7 linked regions of the Sus scrofa genome follow. The protein of the gene in region 2 interacts with the protein of the main gene of each other region in a pairwise test. Links are inferred from orthologs where the notes say so. Each region holds a gene or a part of one and is shown on either strand. Other genes may lie near its edges. The genes, in order: PLEKHN1, REL, EIF5A2, TSTD2, GADD45G, TSSK3 and NCK2.

Evidence for each region.
Region 1: the proteins of REL (region 2) and PLEKHN1 interact in binary tests that used the Homo sapiens proteins (3 or more experiments, as listed by UniProt). The two-hybrid records come from large-scale screens. The link is inferred for Sus scrofa from reciprocal best matches to the Homo sapiens genes REL and PLEKHN1.
Region 3: the proteins of REL (region 2) and EIF5A2 interact in binary tests that used the Homo sapiens proteins (3 or more experiments, as listed by UniProt). The two-hybrid records come from large-scale screens. The link is inferred for Sus scrofa from reciprocal best matches to the Homo sapiens genes REL and EIF5A2.
Region 4: the proteins of REL (region 2) and TSTD2 interact in binary tests that used the Homo sapiens proteins (3 or more experiments, as listed by UniProt). The two-hybrid records come from large-scale screens. The link is inferred for Sus scrofa from reciprocal best matches to the Homo sapiens genes REL and TSTD2.
Region 5: the proteins of REL (region 2) and GADD45G interact in binary tests that used the Homo sapiens proteins (3 or more experiments, as listed by UniProt). The two-hybrid records come from large-scale screens. The link is inferred for Sus scrofa from reciprocal best matches to the Homo sapiens genes REL and GADD45G.
Region 6: the proteins of REL (region 2) and TSSK3 interact in binary tests that used the Homo sapiens proteins (3 or more experiments, as listed by UniProt). The two-hybrid records come from large-scale screens. The link is inferred for Sus scrofa from reciprocal best matches to the Homo sapiens genes REL and TSSK3.
Region 7: the proteins of REL (region 2) and NCK2 interact in binary tests that used the Homo sapiens proteins (3 or more experiments, as listed by UniProt). The two-hybrid records come from large-scale screens. The link is inferred for Sus scrofa from reciprocal best matches to the Homo sapiens genes REL and NCK2.

Annotation. Positions count from the first base shown.
Region 1 is NC_010448.4:63,333,497-63,336,903, forward strand, and holds the end of PLEKHN1 (pleckstrin homology domain-containing family N member 1), read left to right. Parts: intron 1-16; coding exon 17-92; intron 93-210; coding exon 211-359; intron 360-496; coding exon 497-646; intron 647-816; coding exon 817-957; intron 958-1,125; coding exon 1,126-1,257; intron 1,258-1,428; coding exon 1,429-1,638; intron 1,639-1,884; coding exon 1,885-1,933; intron 1,934-2,015; coding exon 2,016-2,131; 3' UTR 2,132-2,644; downstream 2,645-3,407. UniProt on the Homo sapiens protein: Controls the stability of the leptin mRNA harboring an AU-rich element (ARE) in its 3' UTR, in cooperation with the RNA stabilizer ELAVL1.
Region 2 is NC_010445.4:80,873,947-80,878,059, forward strand, and holds part of REL (proto-oncogene c-Rel), read right to left. Parts: intron 3,182-4,113; coding exon 2,409-3,181; 3' UTR 1-2,408. UniProt on the Homo sapiens protein: Proto-oncogene that may play a role in differentiation and lymphopoiesis.
Region 3 is NC_010455.5:109,527,393-109,532,059, reverse strand, and holds the start of EIF5A2 (eukaryotic translation initiation factor 5A-2), read left to right. Parts: upstream 1-1,609; 5' UTR 1,610-1,756; intron 1,757-2,427; 5' UTR 2,428-2,462; coding exon 2,463-2,627; intron 2,628-3,149; coding exon 3,150-3,254; intron 3,255-4,667. UniProt on the Homo sapiens protein: Translation factor that promotes translation elongation and termination, particularly upon ribosome stalling at specific amino acid sequence contexts.
Region 4 is NC_010443.5:239,489,820-239,494,621, reverse strand, and holds the start of TSTD2 (thiosulfate sulfurtransferase/rhodanese-like domain-containing protein 2), read left to right. Parts: upstream 1-1,738; 5' UTR 1,739-2,103; exon of another isoform or gene 2,104-2,234; intron 2,235-3,070; exon of another isoform or gene 3,071-3,174; intron 3,175-4,802. Other genes in the region: NCBP1 (nuclear cap-binding protein subunit 1), read right to left, coding at 1,573-1,606.
Region 5 is NC_010456.5:1,164,520-1,168,528, forward strand, and holds GADD45G (growth arrest and DNA damage-inducible protein GADD45 gamma), read left to right. Parts: upstream 1-1,480; 5' UTR 1,481-1,573; coding exon 1,574-1,626; intron 1,627-1,887; coding exon 1,888-1,989; intron 1,990-2,119; coding exon 2,120-2,333; intron 2,334-2,412; coding exon 2,413-2,523; 3' UTR 2,524-3,019; downstream 3,020-4,009. UniProt on the Homo sapiens protein: Involved in the regulation of growth and apoptosis. Mediates activation of stress-responsive MTK1/MEKK4 MAPKKK.
Region 6 is NC_010448.4:88,808,416-88,812,524, forward strand, and holds TSSK3 (testis-specific serine/threonine-protein kinase 3), read left to right. Parts: upstream 1-1,607; coding exon 1,608-1,752; exon of another isoform or gene 1,753-2,482; coding exon 2,483-3,144; downstream 3,145-4,109. Other genes in the region: protein FAM229A, read right to left, coding at 382-484, 664-810, 892-1,028. UniProt on the Homo sapiens protein: Serine/threonine protein kinase required for spermatid development and male fertility.
Region 7 is NC_010445.4:49,106,271-49,111,178, reverse strand, and holds the start of NCK2 (cytoplasmic protein NCK2), read left to right. Parts: upstream 1-1,998; coding exon 1,999-2,224; intron 2,225-4,908. UniProt on the Homo sapiens protein: Adapter protein which associates with tyrosine-phosphorylated growth factor receptors or their cellular substrates. Maintains low levels of EIF2S1 phosphorylation by promoting its dephosphorylation by PP1.

The sequences.
Region 1 (3,407 bases), on a different chromosome or scaffold from region 2:
CCTTGACGCCCCGCAGGGGGAGCTTCCACTCAGCGCCATCCACATCAACCTGGAGGAGAGGGAGAAACAGATCCGCTCGTTCCTGATCGAAGGTGGGCGGAGGCCAGGCCTGGGAGGAAGGGTGTGAGCCTGCTGGGTGGCCACCTCTGCACCGGGGCTTTGAGGGGGGCACCCTGCCTACCAGGCCCCCTCACGGCCTCCGTGTGCCAGGCCGTCTCATCAATACCATCCGTGTGGTGTGTGCCAGCTACGAGGACTATGGCCGTTGGCTGCTCTGCCTGCAGACTGTCTGCCACAAGGATGGGGCCTCCCTGCTGCCCGGCCCTGAGAGCTTCCCTGGGCTTCGGGCGCCCACACAGGTGAGGGGTTGGCAGCAGCGGGATGCTGCCCCACAGCTGGGGTCCCGGGCAGTGGTAGAAACAGGAGGATGGGTCTGGGCATGGGTACGTGGGGAGAGGTGCTGTCGGCTCACCCTCACCCACCACCGACTGCCCAGATTGTGGGTGGTGGCCAAGGCTCGCTCTCCTCGGATGGACGGACCAGCTGGGACTCAGGGTGCCTGGCGCCCGCCTCCACCTGCACCAGCCACTCCCTCCCTGAGTCCTTGGTGCCCTCTACCACAGACTGCCCTGCCCAGCTTGCACTGGTGAGTGTCTGGAGGGGAGTGGGCCGTGGAGGGAGAGGGGGAGCCCAACCCAACTAGGATCCTACCTCCTCAGGGGAGGGCACTTGGACTGCAGGGGCTCTGTGTAACCTCAGAGGGCTACGTGGGAGAGGGCCCCAGGGAAACTTTTGGAAATTTCTTGGTCCCCGCAGGAGCAAGCCAACCCTGACGGCACCAGTGTCAGTGGACACAGGGCAAAGCTGAGACGGGGCGGCAGCAGCCGATCACCCAGGAGCAAGGCGAGGGGCGAGGGGCCCAGCCCAGTCACCCCACTGCGCCTGGACCTGACCAAGGTGGGCCCAGCACAATGACCCTGGCTCTGGGCCTGCCTCTCCCTCCTGCCCGTCACCTTCCTGGCCTGTCTCGGTCCCGGAGCTACCCAGAGGCCTACAGCATGGAGCAGGGAGGGCTAGGCCACTTCCAGTTCCAGGAAACCTGTCGCATCTGTCTCTTGCCTGCAGCTAAGCCTGGAGGACAGCCTTGAGGCCCCGGGCCACTCTCTGGAGACACCACACTCCCCACTCTACGCTGATCCCTACACACCACCTGCCACTTCCCACCACAGGATCGCAGATGTCCGGGGCCTGGACAAGGTCAGTCCCCTGCTGGGTGACAGAAAGAGCTGGAAGTGCCCACAGCCGGAGGTTAGGAGGGTGCCTGAAGCCTGAGGTCTGCCCAGGCTGTTGTGAGAGGCTAAGGGGTTTCTGGGGCAGGGGTCCCTCAGCTGCTTGGAGGTCCTAGCCTGAGGTCTTGGTCACTGGCAGTTCCTCAGCGCAGTGCAGAGCTCACTCGGACCTGAGCCCTCGGGCCCATTCCCCGCCGGCCCGGGGTCGGTACCTGTCTCGGACCCCAGCTCTGGATTCTCCAGCCCCCACTCGCTCTCCGAGAAGGGAGCCCTGCAGTCCCGAGCCTCTCAGCGGCATCGTGGCTCCATCAAGGACCGGGGGCCCCGGCTCCCAGGCTCCCCTCAGCATGTGAGTAGCAGCCAGTCCGCCCCGCCCCAGGCAAGGGGTCCTGTTGGGAGAGGACGGAGCATGGAGCCTCCTGGGACCCTGAGGGAGCAGGAAAGATGGAAACGGGGAGAGCAGGTGGGCAGAGACCTATGCGCAGTCGCAAGATGGGGGCACTGGGGAGGAGGAAGGCCAAGGGGAGAAGGTGGGCTGGTCTTCAAGCCCCTTTTCCCAGGGCCCATCTCTGAGACTTGTGCTTGGGGTCCTCAGGTCTCCCCCGCCAGGGAAGCGTCCCCCCCGCCCCTGCCACCGCCCCCAGGTAAGTGAGGGCCCCGCCTCCTCCGGGGAGAGCTCTGGGTGTTGCTCCCTGCAGGCACATGCATCTCTGCCCTCCCCACCAGATGGCCACCCCTTCAGGAGCTACGACAGCATCCAGGACAAGGCCCTGTCACCTTCTCACCAGTGGTGGCCTCGAGGAGCACCTGAGGCTGATGAGGGGCTCGTCCAGTGGATCTGATGGCCCTCGGGTGGCTGCTTCTCAGGACCGCTTATCAGCATTGACTTTGGAGGAGGGTCTGCAGCAGGGCCTGGCTCTTTCTTTGTGAGGCTCAGGCATCCAGTATTGAGCCAGGATCTGGCCCCAGCAGGGTGGAGGGAGTCTCCAGAACCCTGAGCTTCCCTGAGCCCTGGAGGAGCCAGGAGGGCCCCATCCTCAGGACGCCTTGGCCAAGGTGACTGGATGCCCAGGGTGCCGTCCTCGGCCTGCCTCCCTGGGGAGGAAAGAGTGAGGGGACTTGGGTTAGGGGCTTTCACCTGGGAGAGGGAGGATGGCACAGGTGTAGCGGTCAGAGAACCAGGAAAGTCAGCTTAGAGAGGGTCCGCGTATGGGAGGTCAGAGGGCACGAGGGCCAGCAAGGTCTGAGACTAGGAGGGCAGAGGGAGGAAGGTTCTCTGGGAGCGTGGGAGTGGAATGGGTTCACCGGGAGAAACTGACAAGAGACCAAACAAGAAAGAAAGAGATTTTATTGGCGCCATGTGTCCACGTGTTCTGTCCTCAGCAGCCAGGAGTCTCCTGCGTCCTGGGGACCCTGTACGCCATGCTGCTTCGGGGCTGGATGCCCACCTAGCACCCAGCCTGGCAGACCCCCGTGCTCTACCACCACCAGCACACCACCCACTTTCCTGTCCCATCTCCAGCTCCTCTCAGACTTGGGACAATCCCAGGTTGTCCAGTCCCTCCCCCGATGCCATTGTCTTCTGCCTCAGCACTTGCTCAAGGGTTCCCTGGAGGAAGGACTCCAGGCTCTGCCCTACAGACCCCCACCCCACAGGGCACCTTAGGTACCTGCTCACCATCTTGGGCAGGAACCAAGGAGGCTTGACTGTACACCCCTGGGGTTCAAGGGTCAAGGCAGCCTCAGAGGCCTCCACTGGCCCAGCCCACTTACAAACAGGGCAGAGTCCCTGGGACATGGCCTCCTAGTCTCAAGGCCACCCAGCCTCCCTACCTTTGCCCCCTGCTCAGACCTCCAGCTGGGGCCTTGCTGCTGCTCTGAAGTCATCTAATTTCCCAGGCCCTGTCGTGCCCCTCCCCCCAACAAGATAACCAGATAGGACTAGGGTGCCAGTTAACTTTGGTTTCAGATAAACCACAACTAATTTCTTGGCATAAGTACATCTCAAATCCTGTGTGTCTGAGATTCAAATTTCACTGGACGCCCCTATGTTTTTAGTTGCTGATCTGGCCACCTCAGTAACCAGCTCCCTGCTTGGCCCCCACCCACCCAGCCTTC
Region 2 (4,113 bases):
TAGTATGGCCATTTTAATGATATTAATTCTTACAATCCAGGAGCATGGAATATCGTTCCATTTCCTTGAATCCTCTTTAATTTCTTTGATTAATGTTCTATAGTTCTCAGCATGTAAGTCTTTGACCTCCTTGGTCAGGTTTATTCCCAGGTATTTAATTTTTGGGGGTGTGATTTTAAAAGCTATTGTATTTTTGTATTCCTTTTCTAATATTTCATTGTTAGTATACAGAAATGCCACTGATTTCTGAATATTAATCTTGTGCTACTTTGCTGAATTTGTTGATCAGTTCAAGCAGTTTTTGTGTGGAGTCCTTAGGGTTTTCTATATGTAGTATCACGTCATCTGCATACAGTGATAATTTTACTTCTCCTCTTCCAATTTGGATATCTTTTATTTCTTTTGTTTGTCTGGTTGTTGTGACCAGGACTTCCAATACTATGTTGAATAAAGTGGTGAGAGTGGGCATCCTTGTTTCAGATTTTAGTGGAAAAAGGCTTTCAGCTTTTCTCCATTGAGTATTTGCTGTGGATTTGTCATAAATGGCTTTTATTATATCAAGGTATGTTCCCTCTCAATTTGGCATTTTAAAGAAATTTTTATTTACATGTAAATCTAGGAAACTCCAAGAAGCCTCAGAAAACCCCTTAGGGGTCACCTTGGCCCATGGGCCTCAAAAATAATAAGGAATTAATTTTTCCAATGGCATAGCCATTACAGGTTTTACCTTCAATTTGCTTAAAAGCAAATATGAATTAGTTCACTTAACTAAGAATATATTAATACATCATAAAAGAAGTATAAAAGAGTGCTCAGGGGAGTTCCCATAATGGCTCAGTGGTAACTAATCTGACTAGTATCCATGGGGACACAGGTTTGATCCCTCGCCTTGCTTAGTGGGTTAAGGATCCTGCATTGCTGTGCCTGTGGTATAGGCCAGCAGCTGCAGCTTTGATTCAACCCCTAGCATGGGAACTTCCATATGCCCTAAAAAGCAAAAAACAAACAAACAAACAAAAAAACCTCCCCAAAAATAAATAAAAATTAAAATTAAAAAACCAAAAAAGTGTACCTGGAAAAACATTATAGCCTTGCTATAATGTTCTCAGTCTGTCTTGCGAAAAAGTGACAGGACTCTCAAGACAATTCCCACCACACACAGAATGAGATCACATGTCTTCAAAAGGAAAAAAAAAAAAAATAATAAAAGAAGAAATAGTAAAGCCCTTTTAAATTTCTATTTTGGAAAATTTTCCTTTTGTGACTGTTTCCAACTTTGTATTCTGCATACCAAGAGTATATACAGGTTTAAAGGGGGGGTTTTTTGGCCATACTCATAGCACACGGAAGTTCCCAGGCCAGAGACGGAACCCGAGCCATAGCAGTGACAATGCTGAGTCCTTAACCACTAGGCCACCAGGAAATTCCCAGTTTAATTGTATGTAGGATTCCACAATGCATCACAGCCTAGGAGTTCGGTCTGTGTGGATTTATCTACTTTTGAAGCAAAAGTCTTCTGTAAATGCTGGACAAATTTTTCTAGCTCTTCCTGAAAGTGGGAAATGAGTTCATCTCCCTTTTTAAGCTGCAGCTTCAAGCACTGAGAATTCATCTTTCATTTTATCTCGACAAATTCTCTGCCAGCAAAACAAGAAGCTCCCAAGCCAAGACTGCCTGTTAGAGCAATCCATCCTCTACATACCTAAAGTTATAATTACAGTTGACCCTTGAACAACACAGGGGTTGGGGCACTGAGCCTCTGTACAGTGGAAAATCCATGTTTAACTTTAAAACTCTACAGATGGCCTCCTGTCTCTGCAATTCTGCATCCATGAATTCAGCCCGTCTCAAATCGTGTAGTACTGCAGTACTTGAACAGTAAAAAAAAAATCTGTGTACTGCACAATGGACCACACAGTTCAAACATGTGTTGTTCAAGATACTATTCCCTCTGATAAATATGTTTTTGAACTATCATCCCTAAAACATAACCAAAAAACTCCCTTGTGTCACAGTTGTAGTCAGAGAAATATAAAATTTTGCATCTACATAGATAAAATCAAAATGGTGACAACCTTTAAAGAGATTGAATTCTTTTTTTAGAAGTTTCCTTTATTTTGTTTTTTATTTTTAAAATTTTTATGGCCGCACCCACGGCATATGGAAGTTCCCAGGCTAGGGGTCGAACTGGCGCTCAAGCTGCCAGCCCATGCCCCAGCAAAGTGAGATCCAAACCACGTCTGCAACCTACATGGAAGCTTGTGGCAATACCAAATCCTTAACCCACTGAGCAAGGCCTGGGATTGAACCTGCATCATCATGGACACTGGTCAGGTTCATTTTCACTGAGCCACAATGGGAACTCCAAGAGATTTAATTAATTCACCATTTAAATCTTACAAGTTAACCTAAAAAAACTCAAATGCAAATGAGTCACTCAATTGTTCATTCTGCGTAGTGCCAATACCTGAATACTGACTATTTTGAACAAAACCATGACTGTTTGGATTAGTACTGTTTGATGGTCCTGACTCGTTTATCATACTGTTATCTGCACAATTAAAGTCAGATCCCTCAAATGCCTCTGACTGGGAAACAAAAGCAGTAGTACTGGAGCTGGTGACTGTTGACATACTGGAAGACGACATCTGATGGAGCTGTCTCAAGTCTCTTGGGTCTAACACTGAATTACAGGAAGGGTTTTCAAGATTCACGCTCACAAGTCTCGGATTATCAGTCTCCCTCATGCTGTCGTTACTGGGCGTTATCATGTTCACAGGACAATGAGGCAGCATGCTGGCATCAGAAATACCATATAAGTCAGCTGGTGACACAGACGATGCTTCCATTCTGCCTATGTCATTTGTATTATTATAAATGCAAGCATTAGAAGTATTCAGATCATTCATAACAGGCATTTCCAGGAATGGCGTGATAACATGTGAATTAGAGGAAAGGGTCCCTGGTGAGAAACCACTCAGTGAATTTGTATTGACTGAGCGTGAGGTGGGGCGGGCCACTGATGACCAGCTTGAAGAAGGCTGAGGTACCATTGTGGGTATGGTTGAAGCAGGATGTGACAATGCACTTGAGATGGATGAGGAATAGTAGGATTCTGCTTGACTTGAAACTGGCCTGGATGTTTCTGTCAAAACTGCACCATGAGAAAACAAGTTTGATTCTGTGGGAGATGAAATGTATTTTTACAAAACTGAAATGAACGAAATTATTAAAAGTATTATTTCTAAATTAAAATTACATAAACACACTAAAAATTTTCAAGGAAATTAATGTAACATTTCAAATAAAAATGGTAACTATTACAGGAGTCCAGAATTGACTTCTCTAATGCTTATTGTTTCACAAATACCTATAAAATGATTTTGGTTATTTTGGCATAGAAAATTTCATTCCAGTTAATTGTGAAAATATAATTTCCAAGGTCCTATAAAGGTATTTTGGGAGTTCCTGTCGTGGCGCATTGGAAACGAATCTGACTAGGAACCGTGAGGTTGCAGGTTCGATCCCTGGCCTCTCTCAGTGGGTTAAGGATCTGGCGCTGTCATGAGCTGTGGTGTAGGTCACAGATGCGGCTCAGATCCTGTGTTGCTGCAGCTATGGTGTAGGCTGGCAGCTGTAGCTCCGATGAGACCCCTAGCCTGGAAACCTCCATATGCCACAAGTGTGGCCGTAAAAAGCAAAAAAAAAAAAAAAGGTATTTTTGAACTGTGAAAGATAAATATCAGAATTTCAGTTAATGGGTCTCCAAAGAGTAAAAGTCATTTCATATTCTCCAGTTTTAGGAGAACAACTGAGGGACGGAGGAAACATTCATTATCGTGATTGAAAAATCCACATAAATTTCTAAGCTATAGTAAGATATAACTCACTCTAAGGCACTACAAAATTCCCAGACAGAAAAAAAATGAATGAATTATCATTAACATTGTAAAACTATACTTTAATAAAACTTTAAATAAAAAATGGAGTCTGTATTTATTTACATGTTATATGACTGCTGTGCATATTAAACTAAGAAAAAGTACTGATTTAAGAATATAAAAAAGAAGAAAAGATTTCTAATTAACCCTAGCAGAATGATCTAAATCAGAA
Region 3 (4,667 bases), on a different chromosome or scaffold from region 2:
TAGCCAGTGTAAAGATTAGACTGGACAACATGTGTGAAATGTCTGTGTAAACCACAGCAATACAAAATCACAGCACCACATAAAAGAAGGTGTAAAGGTCACCTCTCCGAGGCAAGAGAATGTGATGGACTCTGTTTCACTGTGAAACCACTGAGAATAGGAGAACACATCTCTTTTTTTTTTTTTTTTTTTTGGTCTTTTCTAGGGCCACTCCCGCGGCATGTGGAGGTTCCCAGGCTAGGGGTTCAATCAGAGCTGTAGCCACTGGCCTATGCCAGAGCCACAGCAACATGGGATCCCAGCCGCGTCTGCAACGTTTACCACAGCTCACTGCAATGCCGGATCGTTAACCCACTGAGCAAGGGCGGGGACCAAACCCGCAACCGCATGGTTCCTAGTCGGATTCGTTAACCACTGCGCCACGATGGGAACTCCAGAACACATCTCTTTTTAAGAATCTTCGTCCTGGAGTTCCCGTCGTGGCGCAGTGGTTAACGAATCCGACTAGGAACCATGCGGTTGCGGGTTTGGTCCCCGCCCTTGCTCAGTGGGTTAACGATCCGGCGTTGCCTTGAGCTGTGGTGTAGGTTGCAGACGCGGCTCCGATCCCACGTTGCTGTGGCTCTGGAGTAGGCCAGTGGCTGCAGCTCCGATTCGACCCCTAGCCTGGGAACCTCCATATGCCGCAGGAGCGGCCCAAGAAATGGCAAAAAGACAAAAAAAAAAAAAAAAAAAAAAAAAAAAGAATCTTCGTCCTAATCCTATTCAAGTCGCTATTGGTACCACGTTGATTCCAAGACAAACCAAACTGCTCTAATGAGGTATGGACACACCTCAGACTTGAAGGAAGGCAATTCCAGGACGAAGGAAGAGCTGAGTTTGGCAAGAACATCTTTCTGCTGGATAACGCAGTAGGAATCTGACACTCATTTGCCTCCAAAACTCCGCAACAGCGTCCGGTGTGAGAAGTGAGTTAGGTCATTCCACAGCTTTTTAGTTCTTGGACGTCTCAGCCTCCTCTTCCCCTGCCCCGCCAGAGCGCTGCTGATCCAGGCGGGGCACCAGTGGCAGTGGCTGCCAGAACCTCATCATGGGTGGCTGGGGTCACCCGCACAGCCTGCAGTGGGGGCCAGGTAGACTACATTGGCTCTTCCCCAAGGAAGAAGCATGGTTTTGAAAGCCAAGAAGGGCTGCAAGTTGGGCCAGAAATGGGAACCCAAAGTTCCCTCCACAGCCACAAGGGATAACCATTGAATTATCAAGCCTCGCGAAGTCTGACAGCTGTCACGTGACAACCGCCTGGCACCTGAGGGCAAAGGCCACGGAGCGCGTGGCTTGGTTCTCCTTAACTTCAACTGAGACGCCAACGCAAAGAACTCAAAAGTTTGAGGGAACAAGTTTCCTTGCCGGCGTGTTTACCCTCAACAACCGAACTCCAGAAAGTGCTCTTCACGCCGGAAGTGCACTAATCCGCAGCACGTGGGGTTGCCAGGTCGCTCTTCACGTGACTGGGCGGGCCCTCGGGAACCATGTAGCCAATGGTAGCGCGAGAGGGCGGTGCCTATGACGCGCCGGGACCTATCCCGGAAGTGGAGCTGAGGTGGGGGCGGGAAAGGGCGGGGAGGCCGGGGTGTGGAAAGTGTGACGGCCCCGCCCCGTCTCTTGGAACTGCGGCGGCCGCCACAGCTGCCGCCGCCGCAGCTGTGGGGGACCCGCACCGGTGCGCAGGCAAAAGGCACTCTTTCCCGGCTGAAAGGTGAAGAATAGGGGAAAGGCTGGTGGGGCCGGGACCGGAGCGAGGCAGGGCAGAAGAAGCCGGCCAGAGCCCAGCCCCAACCGAGGAAAAAAGGAAGGATGGATGGGGGACCGAGGCGAGCGCGGGACCCGCCAGGGCTCAGGCCCGTGCGGGACCGGGCCGGGGATGCTGGCAGGACAGGGGGCGTCTGAGAGGTCGAGGTGACGGCGCTGCGGGCTGGGAGGAGAAGTGCGCACACGCTGCCCGAGGGCCAAGTGCTGCTGGCCAGGTGCTGTTATCCCCATCCTTCGCGGGGACGTGCGGCCTGGGCTGGGCCCCCCCACAGTGGGGATCCGGGCGGCTGCGGAGGGCCAGACTGCGCGGCACAGTGCGGGAAGGTCGCCAGCTTCTTCTGCGATGGGACTGTGGGGGCCGGGATTTGCTGCCCTCAGCGCGGGTGAGCGCCCAAGGCGGGGATTCCCCATCCACAGCCAGCTTTTCTTCGACTTCCCTCCCACCTCCCTACCAGAGGATGGAAAAGTTTGTAAGGCCAGAGTTAGAAAGTCCCTACTCTTCTGGGTGGGTGTTCTATAAATGCAAAAATAATAGACCCATAATGCTTGGAAACCCGAAATGAGGGGTTTCCCTGCCTGCATGCCAGTTGTTAAAAAGCAAACAAACTTTTTGCATAGTTCCCTCAGAAAAGCAACCATCTTCCCAGCCCACCATGGCGGATGAAATTGATTTCACTACTGGAGATGCTGGAGCTTCCAGCACTTACCCTATGCAGTGTTCGGCCCTGCGCAAAAACGGCTTCGTGGTGCTCAAAGGTCGACCATGCAAAATAGTGGAGATGTCAACTTCCAAAACTGGAAAGCACGGTCATGCCAAGGTAAATGCCCTTTCAGGTCTATCTCGGGGTTGGGATTTTGATTATTTGTATTCCATTACAGAACATGAGTTTTCTGTACTTATAATTGTTTAATATCCCATAGTTACTGGGTGATTAGCTATTTGAATACTGAAAGGTAATATTTCCTTCTTCGGCTCTTATAATGTTTCATTAACTGTAAACTGAAACTTTCCTGAATCCTAGTAACTTAGTCTATTTAGTTTACAAATGAAAAAACCTAACATCATTCTAAGGAACCTAACTTCATTTTTCTTAAGCATTCTTATGACTGAATTATTAGACTATATGATATTGGGTCTTGATATGTCATGATATTCTTTAGTTGTTCACTGCTTCTCAGTTGTATGCCACTACATTTTTTTTTTTAAGAAAGTAAAATTAGATGACCTTGGAAGGTGAAAGAATCTGTCATAATCAGTGCTGGTATTATGCTCCTGTGTATGTAATGAGTGATATCTTGGCAAAGATTAAACAGGTTTCCTGTTCTCCTTTCTCTGTTAGGTTCACCTTGTTGGAATTGATATTTTCACTGGCAAAAAGTATGAAGATATTTGCCCTTCCACTCACAACATGGATGTTCCAAATATTAAGAGAAATGATTATCAAGTAAGTACTAATTTCCTTTAGAATACTATTCATGTCCTCAAGGTGCAGATACTTTCTACTGCCATTGTAATTTAATAAAACCCACAAGTAGTTTTGTAGGTTTTTCTAACCAATTATTAGGTACCACTTACCATAGAAGATTGGAGAAATAGTAATATTTAACACCTGTACCTTAACTAGGATGATAGCTAGTCTGCATTTTTAAACATTCTTGCATTTTTTAAAATTCGAACAATCATTGTTTCTCAGATCAAGTGACTGACTCCCTATTGTTAGTCCAGTGTTTATTAAAATTACTATTCTCTTTGTTATAAATTATTTCAAGTTTAGATAACTCCCTCCTGGGTATTTCTTTTCACTTATCAGACTTCAGGTGCTCAAGAAATTATTGGAATTCATCTTCTGCCGACCAAGTTTGTGCATATTAATGAATGTGTGTCAGAATTTGGTGTTCTTAAATGGGGAAATTAGTTGAAAGTGTATAAAATATAGCGTCACTGAATATGGTGAAGAAAATACAAAAACTCTGTTTTTTGGGTTTTTTTGTCTTTTTGCCTTTTCTAGGGCCGCACATGCAGCACATGGAGGCTCCCAGGCTGGGGGTCCAATTGGAACTGTAGCTGCTGGCCTACGCCTGAGCCACAGCAATAGCAACATGGGATCCAAGCTGTGTCTACTACCCACACCACAGCTTACGGCAACACCAGATCCCTAACCCACTGAGCAAGGCCAGGGATCGAACCTGAAACCTCATGGTTCCTAGTCAGATTCGTTAACTACCAAGCCACTATGGGAAATCCGAAAATACAAAAACTTTGTAATTGTTTTATTTATGTTCCATGACCGTGCTGTGACCTTTGGTTAAATTATGTGTATAAACTGCAATTTTTAGTTACAGTTATACATTTGGATAAGTCATATTTAATGATAGCACTTTCTTGTTTGGAGTATTCTTGGTAACTAAACCACTGACCTCATAGGATGTGGGAGCTCAGATTAATCTTGAAAGTCTTCAATTTTTTTATCTTGTATTGAACTCTTTTCTATTCATTTTACACAGTGAAATATACAAGTGTAATACTCAGATTTGTTTTATCCAATTTAAGCTGATTTCTTTCTATACCTTATACTGTGTTGTATAATTTTTTTTTTTTTTTTTTTTTTTTTTGTCTTTTTAGGGCTGCACCCCTGGGTATATGGAGGTTCCCAGGCTAAGGGTCTAATCGGAGCTGTAGCCATCGGCCTACACCACAGACACGGCAACATGGGATCTAAGCCACATCTACGACCTACACCACAGCTCACGGCAACACCAGATCCTTAACCCACTGAGCGAGGCCAGGGATTGAACCTGCATCCTCATGGATGCTAGTCGGGTTCGTTAGTCGCTAAGCCACGACAGGAACTCCTGTA
Region 4 (4,802 bases), on a different chromosome or scaffold from region 2:
AGGAATGCCCTAGAAGGGAGAAGAGAAAAAAAAGCACAAGAAGAGCAAAGAAAATGGGAACAACTTTAAATTTAGACTCAAGTTCTCCAAATACCAAGTGATGACTTCTAGGAGATTTAGGTTTTTAATTAATCAAATGCAAAGCACATGAAGACTATTTTCTGTGCTCTGTATGTACATTATACAAGAAGCCTCCTGTGATTAAAAAAAAAAAAATCAAAGCATGCAGCCTACTATACATGTGTAGCAAAAAGAACCTTGGATTTGCTTTCACCTGTGTCTGGGCACAGCCATCTCCATTAATTATACTAAATCTAGACCCTTAGGTGTCAGGTGACAAGACTGGACTAGACTATCCTCTCAAGCCATGTCCTAGCAGAAAACTGATATTTCATTGTTAAAATTAAGTAGGTGGGATTTGGTTCCTACCCTCGAGTGCCCCAACATTCAAGGAGAGAAAAATATAAGTGGAGAAAATTAATTAAATCCAACTTTTTGATCCGTATTTTTTTCCTACATCGTTGACATCTGCCAATGCTTATCAATTCTTAAGCATTAACAGATGATAAAATACATATCATCATGAGCAATTAGTTACATATGTTAATCCTCACAAAACCAAGAACAGGCATGTATCATTAATCCAATACTACAGACTAAGGTTTAAAGAGGTGATATAATCTGGGCAAGATCACAAAATAAATGGCAAGGTCTAACTTTGAACTTAAACCCTCTGTCTCCAAAGTCTGGCCTCTTAACCACTTTACAACACTATTTTCAAGTATTAATAACTAAATTATTTTTAGTTTCTTTTTGCTTTTCTAGATGTGTATTCTTGACTGTTGTTTTTTTAATGTAAGCATCGTTTCCTATTTTTAACTAGCTAAATTATTCCTGGTTTCTATGACGGCAATTCCAGGATCCCCATGAGTGCAAATATCCAAATGGGAACCCCGATCTAACCTCTACGAGCTCTCTAGTGAGTCTTCTGGCATTCTTTTCTTAAACGAGAGAAATAAGCTTACAACCAATTCAAGATCTAACATAACGACCTACGTATATCTATTTATTAAAGACTTCTCGCGTGCGGATAAGAAGCTGATTTTTCTTCCCCAGTGGTTTGAAAGAAGGCAAAACCCCGGATGACCCGCACAGGAGAGCTGGGATTGCAATTCATCAGATCTCTCACCTTCCGAGAGCCATTAATACATGATGTTTGAGGGTCAAAACGAGACACTGGGACAAGTGAGTCCTGGTCACCGTCTCTAAGGGGAAGCGGCACAGACACAAATATACTTCCCTGCTCGGCGGTACCAAGGACCTTATCTTAAAGAGTGCTTAGAGACCAGGGGTGCACCAGGCCTCCCCTCCGCCGACGACTCAAGAGGTGCGGTGGGGGATAGCACGAGCTTTCCAGCAGTCGCCCAGCCACACTCCCGCTGTGCCACCCATCTCCCCGCAAGTTCCTGGGGGAAGGGCTTCCCGTCCCTTCGCTCAGGACCTGAAGACCGAAGAAGCCAAACCTCGGCCCCACCTGGGCGCGGCTTCGGCGGCCAGGCCCAGAGCACTCACCATCGTTCTCGTCGCTGTGCCGCCGCCGTGACATGCCGCACGTTGTGTATGCGGCGGAGCCTAGACGCCGGGCGGGAAGAGCGGCAGGAACCGTCGGGCAGCCGGCCGGCGCGAGGACAGCGGCGAGGCTCACGAAGTGGCCCGCGCGCAGGCGCACTCGCTCGCGACGGCTCCCGGAAGCGCAAGGGGGAGAAGTGGCCGGGTGGGCTCGGCGGGCTCGGATCCCGGAGAGCCGGCGTCTGGAACCTCACCAAGCCACTGCCGCCTCGTCCGCACGCAACCGCCCCCTCGGGCTGCCTCCGCCTCTCCGCTGCTTCCTTCGCCCGCCTCCGCGGGAAGTCCTTCCGGGGCCACGCGGAGAGCACCGCCTCCCCAGGCGGCCGGAGCCCGCAGGCCGCGAGCCACGCCTTGGCGGGGGTGGTCTAGGAGGGACGCTCTAGTTCAGACTCCCTCCACTTCAGACTCCCCCCCGGGCCTCTCAGTGGTTTTCCCGGCGGCCCTTTCGCTAACGGCCTAGACTTCCGGGGCGAGGTGAGGTCCCCGGCGTTCCTTCCTACGTAAACAGGGGCGGGGGCTGGAGGTGCAAGGGTGGTGAGAGGTGACAATTGCTAGGCGGAGACGGTTTGGTGAAGAAAGATCTAAGAAAGGATCTGGACTGGCGGGTACGTGCTCATCTTTCTCCCACTTCCGGGCCTCTGCCGACTCGGGAAAGCTGGGAGGAGAGATTGGGCCAGGCCCGGCGCGCGGGGTGGGGCCCAAGCGGGAAGCGGCGCCGCTCGAGCAGCTCTGGGGACCGAAAGACCCTGCCTAGCTTGAGCTTGCTGCTCTGCGGTTAGCTTCTGACCGTCGTCTGACCTCTCGCCCCTCTGAGTTGTTGATCGCTTTAGTAATGTTTCCAGTGGTTATTGGATACTTCCATTATGTGTATGTGAATATTCTCCGCCCTGACCTCTGTGGTGAACACCACGGCTGCTTATCTGCTTTGTCGATGGCCATTTGAAATTTCACACGCGTGAAATGAACCTTTCATTCTCCTAGCCTAACCTAGCCTAACCTATTGCTCCTTCACTTTTACGCATCCATCCGATTGCTTAATCCAAAAATGTAGGTAGGAGTCATTCTTGGCTCCTTACTTACTACCTAATGAACTATCAGTAAACCTTATCAGCTCTACTTTCAAAACCGATCTGGAATCAGTTACTCCTTTTTTACTACTCTCTCATGACTTTGCGATGTAAAGTAACCTGACCTACAGGGTCCTACTCTTTTATCACTATGCTCCAACAATTCTTACTTTCTTCCTGTACCTCCAGTAAGGCAAGCTTGTTCACCCTTTAGGCATTTATATTCCTTTGCCTGAAGATTTCTACCCTTAAGTATGCATGGATGGCTCCTTGGCATTTCAGTCCCAGCTCAAGCATCAGCCCCCTTAGGAATCCTTCCCTGGCCACCCAACCTTTTACTCCATACCACAAATATTGTATTTATTATGTGCCAGGCAGTGTTCTAGACATTGAGGAGGCTGAGGTGAACGAAGGAAAACCCCTGCTTTCTCAGTGCTGATGACCGGTTGAGGAATCCAGCAAACTGCAGTCAGAGGTGGTGGGCAAAAATAGAAAAAGATGCGATTAGGGTGTGGTGGGAAAGGCTTTATAAGAACCTTGGACTTTATCTGATGCCTTTAAAAGCCTTTGGAGGGAGAGATCTGACTTATTTTTAAAGTCACCCCTCTTGCTCTTACGGGAGAAGGGCAGTTAGGCAATTGCAATAATTCATGCAAGAAATAATGGTTGCTTAAGTGGGGTTGGTAGGGAAGGTAGTGCAGTGTCATCTGATGTGATTATATTTCAAAAGCAGAATTGACAGGATTTTCAATACTCTGAAAGAGTGAGGAGACAAGAATCCCAAAGTTTTTTCCTGAGTAACAGGAAGAATGGAATTGTTGTTTACAGAGGTGAGGAAGACAAGGAGAGCAAGTTAAGAGCTGGATTTTTTTTTTCTTTCTAATAGTTTGGTTTATTGTTTATTATTTATTTTTTGTCTTTTGAGGGCACATGGAGGTTCCCAGGCTAAGGGTCAAATTGGAGCTGCAGCCAATGGCCTGCACTACAGCCACAGCAATGCAGGATCCAAGCTGCGTCTGTGACCCATACCATAGCTCATGGCAACGCCAGATCCTTAACCCACTGAGCAGGCTGGGGATGGAACCTGTATCCTCATGGATACTAGTCAGATTCATTTCTGCCGAGCCTCGATGGGAACTCCTGTTTTTTATTTTATTATTTTTAAGGCCCTATCTGCAGCATATGGAAGTTCCCAGGCTAGGGGTCAATTCAGAGCTGTACCTGCTGGCCTATGCCACAGCATCGTGGGATCCAAGCCACATCAGTGGCCTACACTGCAGCTCACAGCAGTGCCAGATCCTTAACCCACTGAGCAAGACCAGGAATTGAACCTGTGTCCTCATGGATTCTAGTCGGGTTTGTTACCACTGAGCCACAATGGGAACTCCCTAATGGTTTGGTTTTGACAGTTGCATTTGAACAGTCTCCTGGCTCTCCAGCTGAAGCCATCCAGTAGACAGTTGGTTATGTGAACTTGCAGTTCAGAGGAGAATCTAGCCTGGAGATAGAAGTTTGGAGTCATTTACTGTATAGTCTTCTAAATATAAAATTTCCTTTATTTATGATTGTTACCCTTTTTTAATTTTTCATGGAAGCTTCAAATATTTACAGAAGTAGAGGAAATTATAAAAGGAACTCCCATGTACTTTATCAACCAGCTTCAGCAGTTACCAACTAATGGCCAATCTGCTTTCACCTCTCCTACTTCCCCTTGCTCAACTTTTCTGAAGTAAATATAGTTGATCAATTCTTGGAACTAGATGAGGATTACCTCAAAGTTGAGTATAGATAGAGCAAGTGAACATTTAGAGGTAGGGATGTTAGTAAGGAGGATTCCCAACAAAGGAGCAGTTCTTAGCATTGATACTTTCATGTTTTTATTTATTTATTTGTCTTTTGCCTTCTCTAGGGCCACACCTGCAGCATATGGAGGTTCCCAGGCTAGGGTTCCAATCGGAGCTGTAGCTGCCTGCCTACACCACCGCCACAGCAACATGGGATCCAAGCCACGTCTCCGATCTACACCACAGCTCAAGGCAACGCCAAATCCTTAACCCGCTGAGCAAGGCCAGGGATCGAACCTGAAACTTCATGTTTCCTAGTCGG
Region 5 (4,009 bases), on a different chromosome or scaffold from region 2:
TTATCTCCGGTCTTGCACCAGAGCCTGGGCTTCCAGCGAATTCACCCCGGCCCGCAAACAGTCCTGTCCAGTCTCTAAGGCCTCATCTAGAAAAGAGGGGCAATGGAATGCACCGCAGCACTGGTTTCAACGTAGAGCAGAGAGATGCAGACACCAAAAGTGATAAGTTGAGTGAGCGAAGGGTCTTTTCGTTTGTCCCCAACTCCTTCCGGCGTGGGTTTTGCAGCCTTTCTTCTGACTTCTGTTAATACGCAGCTTGGAGGGAGCTCAGCCGACCCTACCAGGGCAGCTCCTTGACCAGGAGGCTGCAGGCCAAGTCACTAGTGGTCAATGCAAGTGTAGGGGAGGGAGGTGGTCAGGATCTTTCCTGCCGGCCTGTAGATGGCGCTCCGGGAAAGATATTCCGAGCCGCGTTCCCCAAGCTCTAGGGGCCTGGAGCCAAGGGGTCCGGGCTGAGCGCAGCCGGCTGTGTAAATGGTGCAGCAGCCAGGTGTTCCTTCCAACTGCCACCGCTGTTCCGCACGTGTGCAAGGACCCGGTGGGGCGGAATTACATGCAAACGTGCCGCTGGTGCAGCAGGGCCTGTGCGGGGGTGGGGGTGGGGAGCCGCGCACCGAGGAGGGCAGGAGCGGCACGCGGCCCCGACCCCCACGCGCCAGGCAGCCCGGCGACCCCCACGAGCGGCAGGGCCCTACCCACCCCACCCAGCGGCAGGTGGACAGTGTCGCTATGAAGAGAAAGCTTCGATTGTCCCTCCCACAAACCGCCACACGCCAGACCTCCGCTATTGTGCGTCCTCCATAGAAATGCAAACGAGCCGCGTGCGCCGGCCGCAATCTGCTCGGGAGCCCCGGCGCCCCGCAGCGCTCTGCAGAGGGCGGGGAGCTCGGGTGGGACTTTCCAGCGCGACGGGGTCGGAGCCTTGATTCTGCAGGGAGAACCTCGCATTCCGGGCCCTAGTGTCAGGTGGAGGGAGCTGCGCCCGGGCCTTTTGCAAGCTTAAAGCCAGGACTGTGTGTTTTTAAGTTCCGCTTTAAAAGCTACTGTCTCATAAACTCCAAATTAAGAGTAAAGAAAAAATAGAAAGGTAACAACAAAAATAAATGCAAAAATAAATTCATTAGATTCTCCAACGGTGCATTTCACAAATTGCAGCGTACTATTAGCTAGCAAGGGTTTGGCTTTTTTTTTTTTTTTAAACTTTTCCCTTTTAAAGACTTAAAAACAAAAAGGCTAGATGAAATCTGCAGGCTCCAGGCTGCCTGGTAACACCCCGACAAAAGCAGCAGATTTGAGGCATTGTCATCCCCCGCACCCCTCCCCACGTGGCCTTCTGGCACGAGCCGCCGGCCGCCGCCTCATTTGCATCAGAAAGCGGGCGCCGGCCAATGGGCGCGCAGGCTTGCGCCAGCTGGCGGCGCCGAAGACCCAGCCTATATAAAGGCGCGCGGCGGGACCCGGGCTCACTCGCTGGCGGTGGGCACGCCGAGCAGAGCTGCGGGCTGATCTCTCTTCGCTCGCGTCCGCTCCGCCCTCTGCTTTTGTGGATAACTTGCTGCTTGCGGATCGCAACATGACTCTGGAAGAAGTTCGCGGCCAGGATACGGTTCCAGAAAGCACGGCCAGGTAAGTCCGCGCTGAGCGCCGAACGTCTCAGGGCTCCGGGATCCTGGTCCTGCCCTGGCCGCGGCTGGTTGGGCGCAGTCTTCGAAACCTTCCGGGGTGGGGGTCCGCTGGGTAGAAGTCAGGCCCAAGTGTTTCCGCTGGGCTGGGGGTGCGGCACTGGGCTGGAGCGCCGGAGTCGGGCGCCGGGGGTGCCTCCCAGGGCTCGGGGGTCCTGGCTCACCCTCCGGCCTGTCCACGCTCATGGCGGTGGCTCCTCCACAGGATGCAGGGCGCCGGGAAAGCACTGCACGAGCTGTTGCTGTCGGCGCAGCGACAGGGCTGCCTCACCGCCGGCGTCTACGAGTCCGCCAAAGTCCTGAATGTGTGAGTATAGACGCGGTCCGGGCGAGGCGGCCGGGGGCGGGCAGAGCGGCAAGGGAGACCGGGGAGAAGGCGGCACGGGGCACCCGGGGCACACCGATCTGACCTCTTCACCTCCTTCTCGCTCGCGCAGGGACCCCGACAACGTGACCTTTTGCGTGCTGGCTGCTGACGAGGAAGACGAGGGCGACATTGCGCTGCAAATTCACTTCACTTTGATCCAGGCGTTCTGCTGTGAGAACGACATCGACATCGTGCGTGTGGGCGATGTACAGCGGCTGGCGGCGATCGTGGGCACCGGTGACGAGGCGGGCACGCCGGGAGACCTGCATTGCATCCTCATTTCGGTGAGTGTCGCCTCCATCCCGATGTCATCCCTGCCCTTGCCAGCGGCCAGCCCGGTTGACCTCTGGACTCTCTTCGCAGAACCCCAATGAGGACGCGTGGAAGGACCCCGCCTTGGAGAAGCTCAGCCTGTTCTGCGAGGAGAGTCGCAGCGTCAACGACTGGGTGCCCAATATCACCCTCCCCGAGTGACAGCCCGGCGGGGGTCTTGGTCTGATCGACGTGGTAACGCCCCGGGGCGCCTAGCGCGGGGCTGGCTCTGTGGATGCGCCCTAGGAGGGCGCCCGAGTGCGGCGTGGAGACTGGCAGGCGCCGGCGCGTGGAGAGCGGCGAGGAGGTGCGGCTCCCTCCCGAGGAGGGGCCCGGCGGCGACAGGGGCAGGCTGGCCCCAGCCCAGGACTCTACAAGTGTGGGGAGCGGTTGCTCGCCCAGGAAGGCCGGAGGCGGGACGTTGGCCGCGCGGCCGGGAAGGACAGACTGGCCGGGCAGGCGTGACTCAGCAGCCTGTGCTCCCGGCAGAAAGGAGGGGAAAGGCAAGGCCAGGAGGCCTGGACTTGTACAGTAACAGAAGCTCTGACGGACTTAGCAGTAGGCACTGCTGTTTCAAAACGGATCCGGGCGATGCTTCGTTTTCTAAAGGATTATGCTGCTGCAGCGTTGAGTCTTACAATAAACTTACTGAAAAAAACTTAACTCTCTTTATTGAGGGCAGGGGATCTTTGTCTGAGGGGAAGGTGGTTAGCGGGATTGCTGACGATTTCTGAAATTCCCGGAACTCGCTGGCACCTGTTCCATCTTCCTGTTAGGGCTGAATTACAGGCTCCCGGGGTGCTCGAAGTGGGGGAGGGGGCGTTGGCTGGGTGTTAGCAGAACTTGAGCCGTGCCCTCCTCTCCCTTTAGGAAGATTTTTACACTCGCAAGATAGGAGCATACTTGGGATAAGCCATCAGTGCAGCAGCTGGCCATCCAACCTGATAACGGAGGCCTTTCCTTTCCCTCCCCTCCTCCTTCTCTCCCCTCTGCCCCCTCCCTTCCAACAGCTGCTTATCGAACAGCTTGCAGGATGCAGGCAGCTCCTTCCTGTGCAATGAGCATTGCCTTCTGCAGGGGCTGCCCTTTGTGGTCCCTGAGGATGGCGGCAGACTGCTCTGAGGAACCTTTTTATCTCAAAGGGATGGCGCTTAGAGCAATGTCACCAAGGTATTAATATCGCATATGACATGATGACTGCATTTGCGTGTGAGTCATCATTTTGTCATGGCTGTGATAGAACTTAAAAAGATCTTAGCAAAGAATGGTAAAGCGGCATCTGCACAAATGGGTGTGAGCAATTCTGAGTGGGGCCAGCATCTGCTTTGTACTATTTTCAGGGTTCTTTGCCCACATCAGACTTATTGAGGACTACTGCTCTTCACAGCAGCCTTTAAAGACTTAGAGAAGAAAAATAATTTTAATCTTTTTGACAAAGATTTCCCTTAAGAAGGCTCTAGAGGGAAATGTGCAGAGTGAATCAGTCTTTTTTTACCAAGCCAATAGTATCTTGATTTCACTCTCATGCCTGTCTATACTGCTTTCAGTGGGGGAAATACACACGCGGCTGCTAGATGCTGTTAGCAAGCTGCCCAGTGGTCCACTGAGCCTTCGAGGCAAAGGGGAAGGGATGGTGTACTCTTTTCCT
Region 6 (4,109 bases), on a different chromosome or scaffold from region 2:
GCGAGGCAGAGAGGCTAGAGCACAAAGGCCGCGCCATAAGGGGTCATGAATAGCAAGGAACGGTTTTGGCGCCCAGCAAGCAGAAGGCGGACCGGGAAAGGCGGGCCCCTGGGGTTGGGTCCAAGGGGGTAGACAGCAGAAGGTAAGGTGCTATTGGATGAGGCTGAGCAGCCGGCGCGCCTGGTCCGACGGGATAGACAGACACGGCCAGCCCGGAGTGAAAAGAACAGTTTATGCTGTGCTTTATTAAAATGTGCATCATTCTTTTATTTAAAAATGTGCATCACTGTCTCGTGCTCGGCGCGCGCGACCTCAGCGTGGTGGCCCGCGGCGGGCCTTGTCCCCGCCCGGCTCCCGCCGAGCCGTCGTGCGCAGGCGCACTCAGGTGGCGCGGGCCCGGGGGCTCCCGCCCATGGCCAGGTAGACGTCGATGGGCACGTGCAGCAGCGTCAGGCAGTGGCAACCGGGGCAGCGTCGAAGCGGCCTAGGGAAAAGCGGGGTGTGACAGGGGCCGCTGAGGCGGAGGCCCGCCTATCCTGTTGGGATGGCGTCTAGGAGTGCACTTGGGGTCCCCGAGGTTCGGGCGTGGATGTGGTACCTTATATGGGGCGGGGTCGGTCTAGGGACGGAAGGTGGGGCGGCAAGGAGGGGCGCCGGCCTTACCTGACCGGGTTGTGCTCCGTAGCTACAGGCTCCGGGCTGTCCTGGGACTCAGGGGCGGCGGCAAGGCCGGGGGAGTCTCCAGCCTCAATGGGGAATCTTCGACCCTGAGGGGGCTCCTGGGCACTCATGTCCAGGCCCCGGGGCGCTCTGCGCGGGGAGTAGCGGTCAGGCCGCTACCGGGCAGCTGGGCTCCCCCACCCGGCGCCCGCCCCTTGGGCTGTTGCTCACCTGCCGGAGGCCGAGACCGGTCCCAGGCCGGAAGCAGCTGCCCGAGCCCTGGCCACGGGAGGACGCTCCGGTCCAGGCGGATCCGGGCAGGTGTCTGCTGCGCGTCCGTTCCCGGGCGTCGAAGGGGAAGGCTGCATTGTGACCCGGGCCGAGGCGCGGTGACCTCATAGAACCCGTTCCTCCGGCCAGGGAACCTCACGCTGCCCGGGCACTTAGCGGGGTGGCGAGCCAAGAGCTGGAGGGCTCATGCCATGGGTCGCACAGACCCCGAGCTGCCCTATGGGGGCACAGGAGGCGGCGTCCGCCGAAAGGAGCCTGGCATCCTGGGCTGCGCGCAGACCCCTGGAGCGCCCCCCACAGGCGGGGCCGCGAGCGACTCACTGCCTGGCGCGGGGTCGGGGCGCAGCAGTGACTGAACCCGGACAGGGTTTGGTGGTGGTGGTGGTGAGGGCAGATAGGAGCATTGCTCATTTTGGCCAAGAGTCACACATCATTTACATCACAATTAGGCCAGAGTTTTAAAATGTCTGGCCCTCTCCCTCCCCACCACCTGCGGCTGCTGTCTCCAGACGGAGAATGCTTTAGCCCTGGGGGCGGCTGCGGATGAAGTCCTTGGGGGGAAAAGGAGCGGGCCAAGGGCGATGGTGGAGTAGAGCTGCCTCGCAGAGGCAGCATGAGCTGAGAGGGTAATAGGAAGGAAGGAGGTGTTAGACAGCATGGAGGACTTTCTGCTCTCCAATGGGTACCAGCTGGGCAAGACCATTGGGGAAGGGACCTACTCAAAAGTCAAGGAAGCAGTTTCCAAAAAACACCAAAGAAAAGTGGCAATTAAAATTATAGACAAGATGGGAGGGCCAGAAGGTGAGCTGGGGGCCCTTTGGAGGAAGGGAGGGCTGGCTGAAGTGGGTGGGCGCTTCCTCCAGTCAGAAGGACCATTTCCTCCTTCTCTTTGATCTGAAACCAAGGAAAGCAAGGGAGTGTGGCTCTGGGGTAGGTCAGTGGGGAACAGAGGAATGCTGGGTGTCAAGGACAATCACACCCTCCAAAGTCCAAGATTAAATCTGCAGGAGGTAGAAGGATCCTCAGAAACAGAATCCAAGCCCACCAGGGCTTTCCTATTCCAGGACGGGAAGAGACTGGAAGGCTGTGGCCAGGACTAGCAGAGGGCAGGAGTGGGGCCAAGGAAGGTAGAGACTGGGAAAAGACAGGGCTTATGGAAAGAACTGTGACTCAGGAGTCAGAGGTGAGAGGAGCTGGCTCACCACGCTGTGGGCAATCAGGCCTCACAAAAGATTCAACAGCTTTGTCTAAAAAGTCTCCAAAGCATTTTGATATCCACGGTCTCACAGGCTGCTCACAACGGTCCCTGAGGCTGACAGGGAACAGTTCCTCTGAATAATATATTAGCTACAAAAACAACAGGGGTGAACATTCTTTGCAGTGTCCAAATAGCTGGATGTTAAAGGCTGTGCAAGGGAACCAAGGCACAAGACCCAGACATGGTGGGCCAGAGCTGGAAGGCAGGAGTCAGGAGAGGAGTTCTAGGCCCTTCTGGACTTGACACTCCTTCTCTTTTCCCTTGTGTCCTTAGAGTTTATCCAGAGATTCCTGCCTCGGGAGCTCCAGATTGTCCGTACCCTGGACCACAAGAACATCATTCAAGTGTATGAGATGCTGGAGTCTGCTGACGGGAAAATCTACCTGGTAATGGAGCTGGCTGAAGGAGGGGATGTCTTTGACTGCGTGCTGAATGGAGGGCCACTGCCTGAAAGCCGGGCCAGGGCCCTCTTCCGTCAGATGGTCGAGGCCATCCGCTACTGCCATGGCTGTGGTGTGGCCCACCGGGACCTCAAATGCGAGAACGCCTTGTTGCAGGGTTTCAACCTGAAGCTGACAGACTTTGGCTTCGCCAAGGTGTTGCCCAAGTCATGCCGGGAGCTGAGCCAGACCTTCTGCGGCAGCACAGCCTATGCCGCCCCCGAGGTACTGCAGGGTATTCCCCACGATAGCAAGAAAGGGGACATCTGGAGCATGGGCGTGGTCCTGTACGTCATGCTCTGTGCCAGCCTACCTTTTGATGACACAGACATCCCCAAGATGCTGTGGCAGCAGCAGAAAGGGGTGTCCTTCCCCACTCATCTGGGCATCTCAGCCGAATGCCAGGACTTGCTGAAGCGGCTCCTGGAACCAGACATGACCCTCCGGCCTTCAATTGAAGAAGTTAGTTGGCATCCATGGCTAGCAAGCACTTGATAAAAGCAATGGCAAGTCCTCCCCAATAAAGCAGGGGGAGAAAGCAAACCCAAAAACCCGCTTCTAAAATGTTGATATATATTTTACACTTTAAGTTTACTTATCCTAAATCTTACCTATACCCTCCCCAGCCTTACTTCTCTTTCCCTTTAAAGATCTTCATGGAACGAGAGGGCCTCATTCAGACTTCCCTTTTATTACGGCTGACAAGTGATTTTCATACCGGTGTTTAACTAAAGTTAATTAAAAACAGTCCCCAGAATCATACACGTACAGGGGGAGGACAGGAGAAAAATGACCAAGAGCAACTGAAAAAACTGTTGTTGCAACTTCCTTTCCAAATAAAAGCAGAAGCGTTGGGAATGCAGAACAGCCTCTTGACTCCTTGTCTTGGTGAGAGGCCTGCTGGGGGCTTGGCCCTTCCTCATCCCAAAGGCCGAGCCGAGTCTGGGATGAGGACAAGGGACTTCCTCAGGACCCAGGCTACCTCCCACCACAACCCTCCCCCAGGCTCTAAGTAGGAAGCCACCCTGCTCTGGCTCTAGGCAGTTGCTGTGGGGACAAGAACAGACCCCCAGACACTTTCCAGCTTCTGTTGAATCTCTTTAATGCTGTTAACGGCAAATCTGGAAAAGGTTCAGGAAAAAGTTCTTTTTTCTTTCTTTTTTAATTACAAAACTAACAGCTGTTAGAATCTTTTTTTTTCCTTTTTTCTTTTCCCAGCTAGAAAATACTCTGGGGAGATGCATTATAATTTAAAATATATAATATTGCACAAACAACCAAAAGGTTAATTAAACTAAAGAAATAATTACAAAGAGAAAACCCCATCCCATCAAAAAAAAAAAAGATTAAGCATTCTCTCCATCCCACCCCCTCACGGAAGGTCTGAAGTGGAAGTGACCACCACTCTCTTGGCGTCCCTGACCACGATCCCTTTAAATCATTGGTGAACACACCAGATT
Region 7 (4,908 bases), about 32 Mb from region 2:
TCCTATCTCTAAATTTGGAGGTTAATTCATGAAAGAGGAGAACATGCATTATTTATAAGTGTCTTTAGCATCAGGTAGGAAGTGTCATGTTATTTAAAAATGGGAATTCATGCTTCACAGAGTCAGTGCGCTGGTCCCCGCTGTCATCCTGAAGTCATCCTGTAAATAATGAGAGTGCCTCTCTGTCAGAAAAGGAGAGGGTTGGAGTCAGGAGTCTTTCCATTATTCATTTCTTCCTCATTTTGAGTAAACTTCCAGTCATTTAAAAGACAGAATGTTGAATTTTTCTGCCTGAAAAATACTGGTCCAGCTTCTACCTGAGAAGTAGGGAGTTGCTGAAACTAGCTTATAACTGTACTCATTTTAGTTATTCAGATATGCCTGAGCCATTTATTAATAATAGATAATTCCATAGTTAACTAAGTATGCTCTATACTCTGTTTTTTGTTTTAAAGATAATTGAATTTTGGCATGATTTTACAATACTTTTATTCCCAGTATTCCACGTTTTATGGGTCTTGACAAGTGTGTCGTGACACATACTCACTCTTATAGTATCCTTTGGAGTTGTTTCGTTTCACTGCTCTAAAAATGCCTGCACTCCATCTCATCATTGCTTTCTCCCCTTTCCCGGCCACCACTGGTCTTTGTAACATCTCCGTAGTTTTGCCATTTCCAGAATGTCACATCATTGGAATTATTAAAGAAAAAATGACACTCATTAAAGACCAGTCCAGCAGACTTTACTAGGGGGAGTACAATAAGGGGTTTTCTCAGTTGGGGGGGGGAGAGTTTGGGCTCCATTCCACATACAGGAGGGGAAGTGAGACTTTATAGCTGGGCAGCAGGTTGGGCAGCAGGTGCATGCACAACCACTACGAGGAACCAGCAGAGCTAAGGGGGGTTCTGGCTACATGGACCTCACAGGATCCCTCCTGAAAGCAGCCCGGGATGATCAGACACCACTTGGGCAAGGGTGGAGGCACCTGGCTGAACTAGCTTAGCAGGATTCTTGCTAAAAGTGGGCACTGCAAAGACAGACTCAAGTACCGAACTCGTTTGGGAAGAGAAATCAGAAGAGCCTGACTACCATTTGATCTAATAGCAGAGTCTTTGTGCCAGTCATACAGTCTGTGCCTTTTCAGATTGGCTTCTCTCACTTGACCATAAGCACTGGAAGTTTTTCCATGTCTTTTTGTGGCTTGACAGCTCATTTCTTTTCAATCACTGAATAATAGTCCATTTTCTGGATGTACCACAGTTTGTTTCTCCATTCATCTACCAAAGGACATCTTGATGGCTTCCAAATTTTGGCAATTGCGAGTGAAGCTACAATAAACGTCTGTGTTTCAGGTTCCAGGAATGCTTTTTTACTTAAGGAAGAAGGTACAAAGATAGCCTTCCCAGGTATCCCGGACTCAGTTTTCCTTAGTGCTAACATCTTAGGTGTTTAGGGACCTTCGTCAAAACAGTCAGGGGTAAAATTAGTCAGTGGCACTGTTGGCTAGACTTATCTGGATTTTACCAGTGTTTATATTTCAGGATGCAATCCAAGATACCACATTGTAGTTTGGGTGTGTCATGTCCATTAAATATGTCCATAAAATTAAGCATATCCTTAGATAGTAGGCATCAAGAGATCAGCCAGAAGGATCTGGTGTTCCTTCATCCTGTAAGCAGGTTTCCTTTTCGTATGGTTGTCTAGAACTCTTGGAAGGTTTTTTTTGGTTGCCGCTTGTTTTTGTCAGAGCATGCAGAATTCCTAGTGTGCAAACTTAAGATTTGTTTCACGAGGCTGCCGTTTCTAAACCAAGTATTCCCATGTGTTGAAGGAAGGTCGCTGAAGGTTATTTGGAGACCCAGGCAACATTCAGTGGCCAAGTTTTTACTAAAAGCTGTCAGGGCATCATCTTCCAAGTGGGGACAAAGGATGAAGCTTTTGGCTTGGTCTCTAATGAGCCTCTCGCCTGTTTTGCTGACAGAAGGACTCCATGAAAGATGACAGAAGAAGTCATCGTGATAGCCAAGTGGGACTACACGGCCCAGCAGGACCAGGAGCTGGACATCAAGAAGAACGAGCGCCTGTGGCTGCTGGACGACTCCAAGACATGGTGGCGGGTGCGGAACGCGGCCAACAGGACGGGCTATGTGCCTTCCAACTACGTGGAGCGGAAGAACAGCCTCAAGAAGGGCTCCCTCGTGAGGAACCTCAAGGACACACTGGGTGAGTGTCCTTTCTCGGGATGCAGGGAGGAGGGGTCATCGTTTTAGTTGGTGTAGGAGAGGAAAAAAAAAAAAAAAGGATGTTTTAAGTATTAACATCTTTCTTCGTGTCTTTTTCTGAAATTCTGGAAATGGGGAGAGATCCAGCGGAGAAATCCACTGTGTCGTTTCTTGGAGATTCTAGAATCTGGAGTTCCATGTGAGCGGACCCTTCTGTGTCCGGGGCCCCTGCTCATTTCTGTCTCCTGGCATCCACTTTCTGGAGGGTCCCGGGATGGAATTGCCATCCCCTAGGGATGTCCACAGCTCCACCTGTGTCATTCCACCAGAGCTTTTCCATCTCACAGAATCCTGCACCTGTGGCTTTTGTGCATAGAGAAGCAGACAGCGAAAAGCGCTTTGAACCAGGTGAACTTTTCCCCTCTTTTAAATTGGTGGCATTTCACACTGCAGCCCTGGGCAGTGCCAGCTAAGTGGGGACAGGAGTGGCGGTGTGATGCCAGCTGACCAGGGTGACTCGTGGGGGCTCTCTATCTGCCCGGCTTTCTTCCTGCGATCCTGTTTCCCCTCCCTGGTATCCAGCCGTGGGAAAGGCCACCTGCATCCCCTGATATTGATGGTGTCCAGTATTGCTTCAGTGTGGGTATCAGACTTCTGCACAGTAGTTACTGCTGCAGAGTGTGGGTGAGAGCGTGGGCCCTGCCACCTGAGACCACTGCTTATCACAGAAGAGTTTGAGGTTGAAAACATGAGTGTTATCACCCACGTGACATTTCCTTGAGGTTTTCCTTTTCATTTCTTTGGTTTTTTTGGTGTGATTTCCCCTAATTTTTATTAATGGCCATGTCCTCAATCTTGGCACAGTTGTTGGTATAACAGAGGTGCCTTAATTAAAAAAAAAATAATTGAATAAATAATTAGTTATTGCATCTAAGTTGATAATAAGAAATTATGTCTAACCAGTCTTTAGGCTGAATAAATTGAGTATTAAATAATAAGAAAGCAGTTCTTGCTATGGCAGATGGAGAAGTCCATCACAATTAAGTTCACTGGGACAAAATGACTTAAGTTGATACTTTATTCTTGACTACTTGGCAGTAGTCTCATAATGTTTTTTTTTTTTAATGATTTTTATTTTTTCCATTATAGCTGATTTACAGTGTTCTGTCAATTTTCTGCTGTACAGCAAAGTGACCCAGTCACACATACATATATATGTTCTTTTTCTCACATTATCCTCCGTCATGCTCCATCACAAGTGACTAGATAGAGTACCTTTTCATTTCTAACAGAATTTGTTTCATTTGCGGGAGGGGAACAGGTAGGAAAACCAGAAAGAAAATGTTAAACTCTGCATGTGACAAGACTTGCAACCTACCCACCTTTCATTTTTCTGCAATCTGAACGCATCCACTGCTCTCATCGAAACCATTTAGAGCCTTTATCCATTGGGTAGTAATTCTATGTTACATGTTAGGTTATTTCCACAATTTGAAGGGAGAAATGAGACATAGTCCTGTGTGTGATTCACACTGACTACTGTAGGTTCTGCCTGATGGAGAAATTCTGTTTTTCATGAGTAAGCTGATTATTTTTCACAAATCTGACACCCTTTTATCTTTTTTATCCTTTTTTTTTTTTCTTGATGATCATGTCACTTGAGAAGAATATTGTTGTCCAGTGTTTATAACTCTTCATTAACTATAAGGAAAGGCAGGCAGGAGTTCTCGTCGTGGCTCAGTTGTTAATGAACCCAACTAGCATCCATGAGGACATGGGTTCAATCCCTGGCCTTGCTCAGTGGTTTAAAGATCTGGCATTGCCATGAGATGTGGTGTGGGTCACAGATATGGCTTGGATCCTGAGTGGCTGTGGCTGTGGCTGTGATTGGCAGCTGTAGCTCTGATTCGACCCCTAGCCTGGGAACCTCCATATGCCACAGGTTCAGCCCTAAAAAGACGAGGAAAAAAAAAAAAGAAAGAAAGAAAGAAAGAAGCATGAATAGGTAAATACTTTGAGTGCCCTGACATAATTTTATTTATTTTTTCCAATTTCAGCCTCTCATTCACTGAAGTACCTGCTTTTGGAGATGCTGAACATTGTTGACTTATATTCTTACTGTTTTTTAAAAAAATCTATTCTCAGGATTCTAGTAAAGAACGAAATACTCAGGGAATTCCCTGGTGGCCTAGCAGGTAAAGGATTTGCATTGTCACTACAGTGGCTCCGGTCACTGCTGTGGCATGTCTTCAGTCCCTTTTCAGTTCCTGGCTTGGGACCTTCTGCATGCCGCAGGCGTGGCTGAAAAAAAAAGAAAAGAAGAAGGAAATGCCCAGAAACTGAGCAGAATGCTAGGAAGTAACCTAAGACAAAGCAGGCACTCGCGTTATCTCCAGATTCCTTTGAACAGCTTGTCACTTTTTCCTTTGGTTTTTAGAACAAAAAGACAGCTGAGTGATGAAGCACCCCTCTCTCTAGGGTTCAGGTTTTCATGAGCTGTGGTCAGTCCCATGTGTCTGCATACCCTGGACTCTAGAACTCAGGGGGCCTGGCTCAGCCAGTGCATGCGCGTGCTGGGTGCCAGGCAGCTCCCCCCCACCCCCGCCCCAACAGATGGCCACCCAGCTCTGCTGGAACACGTCTCCTTGTGTAGAGTCAGCCAATTCCATTTTTGGAGAACACAGA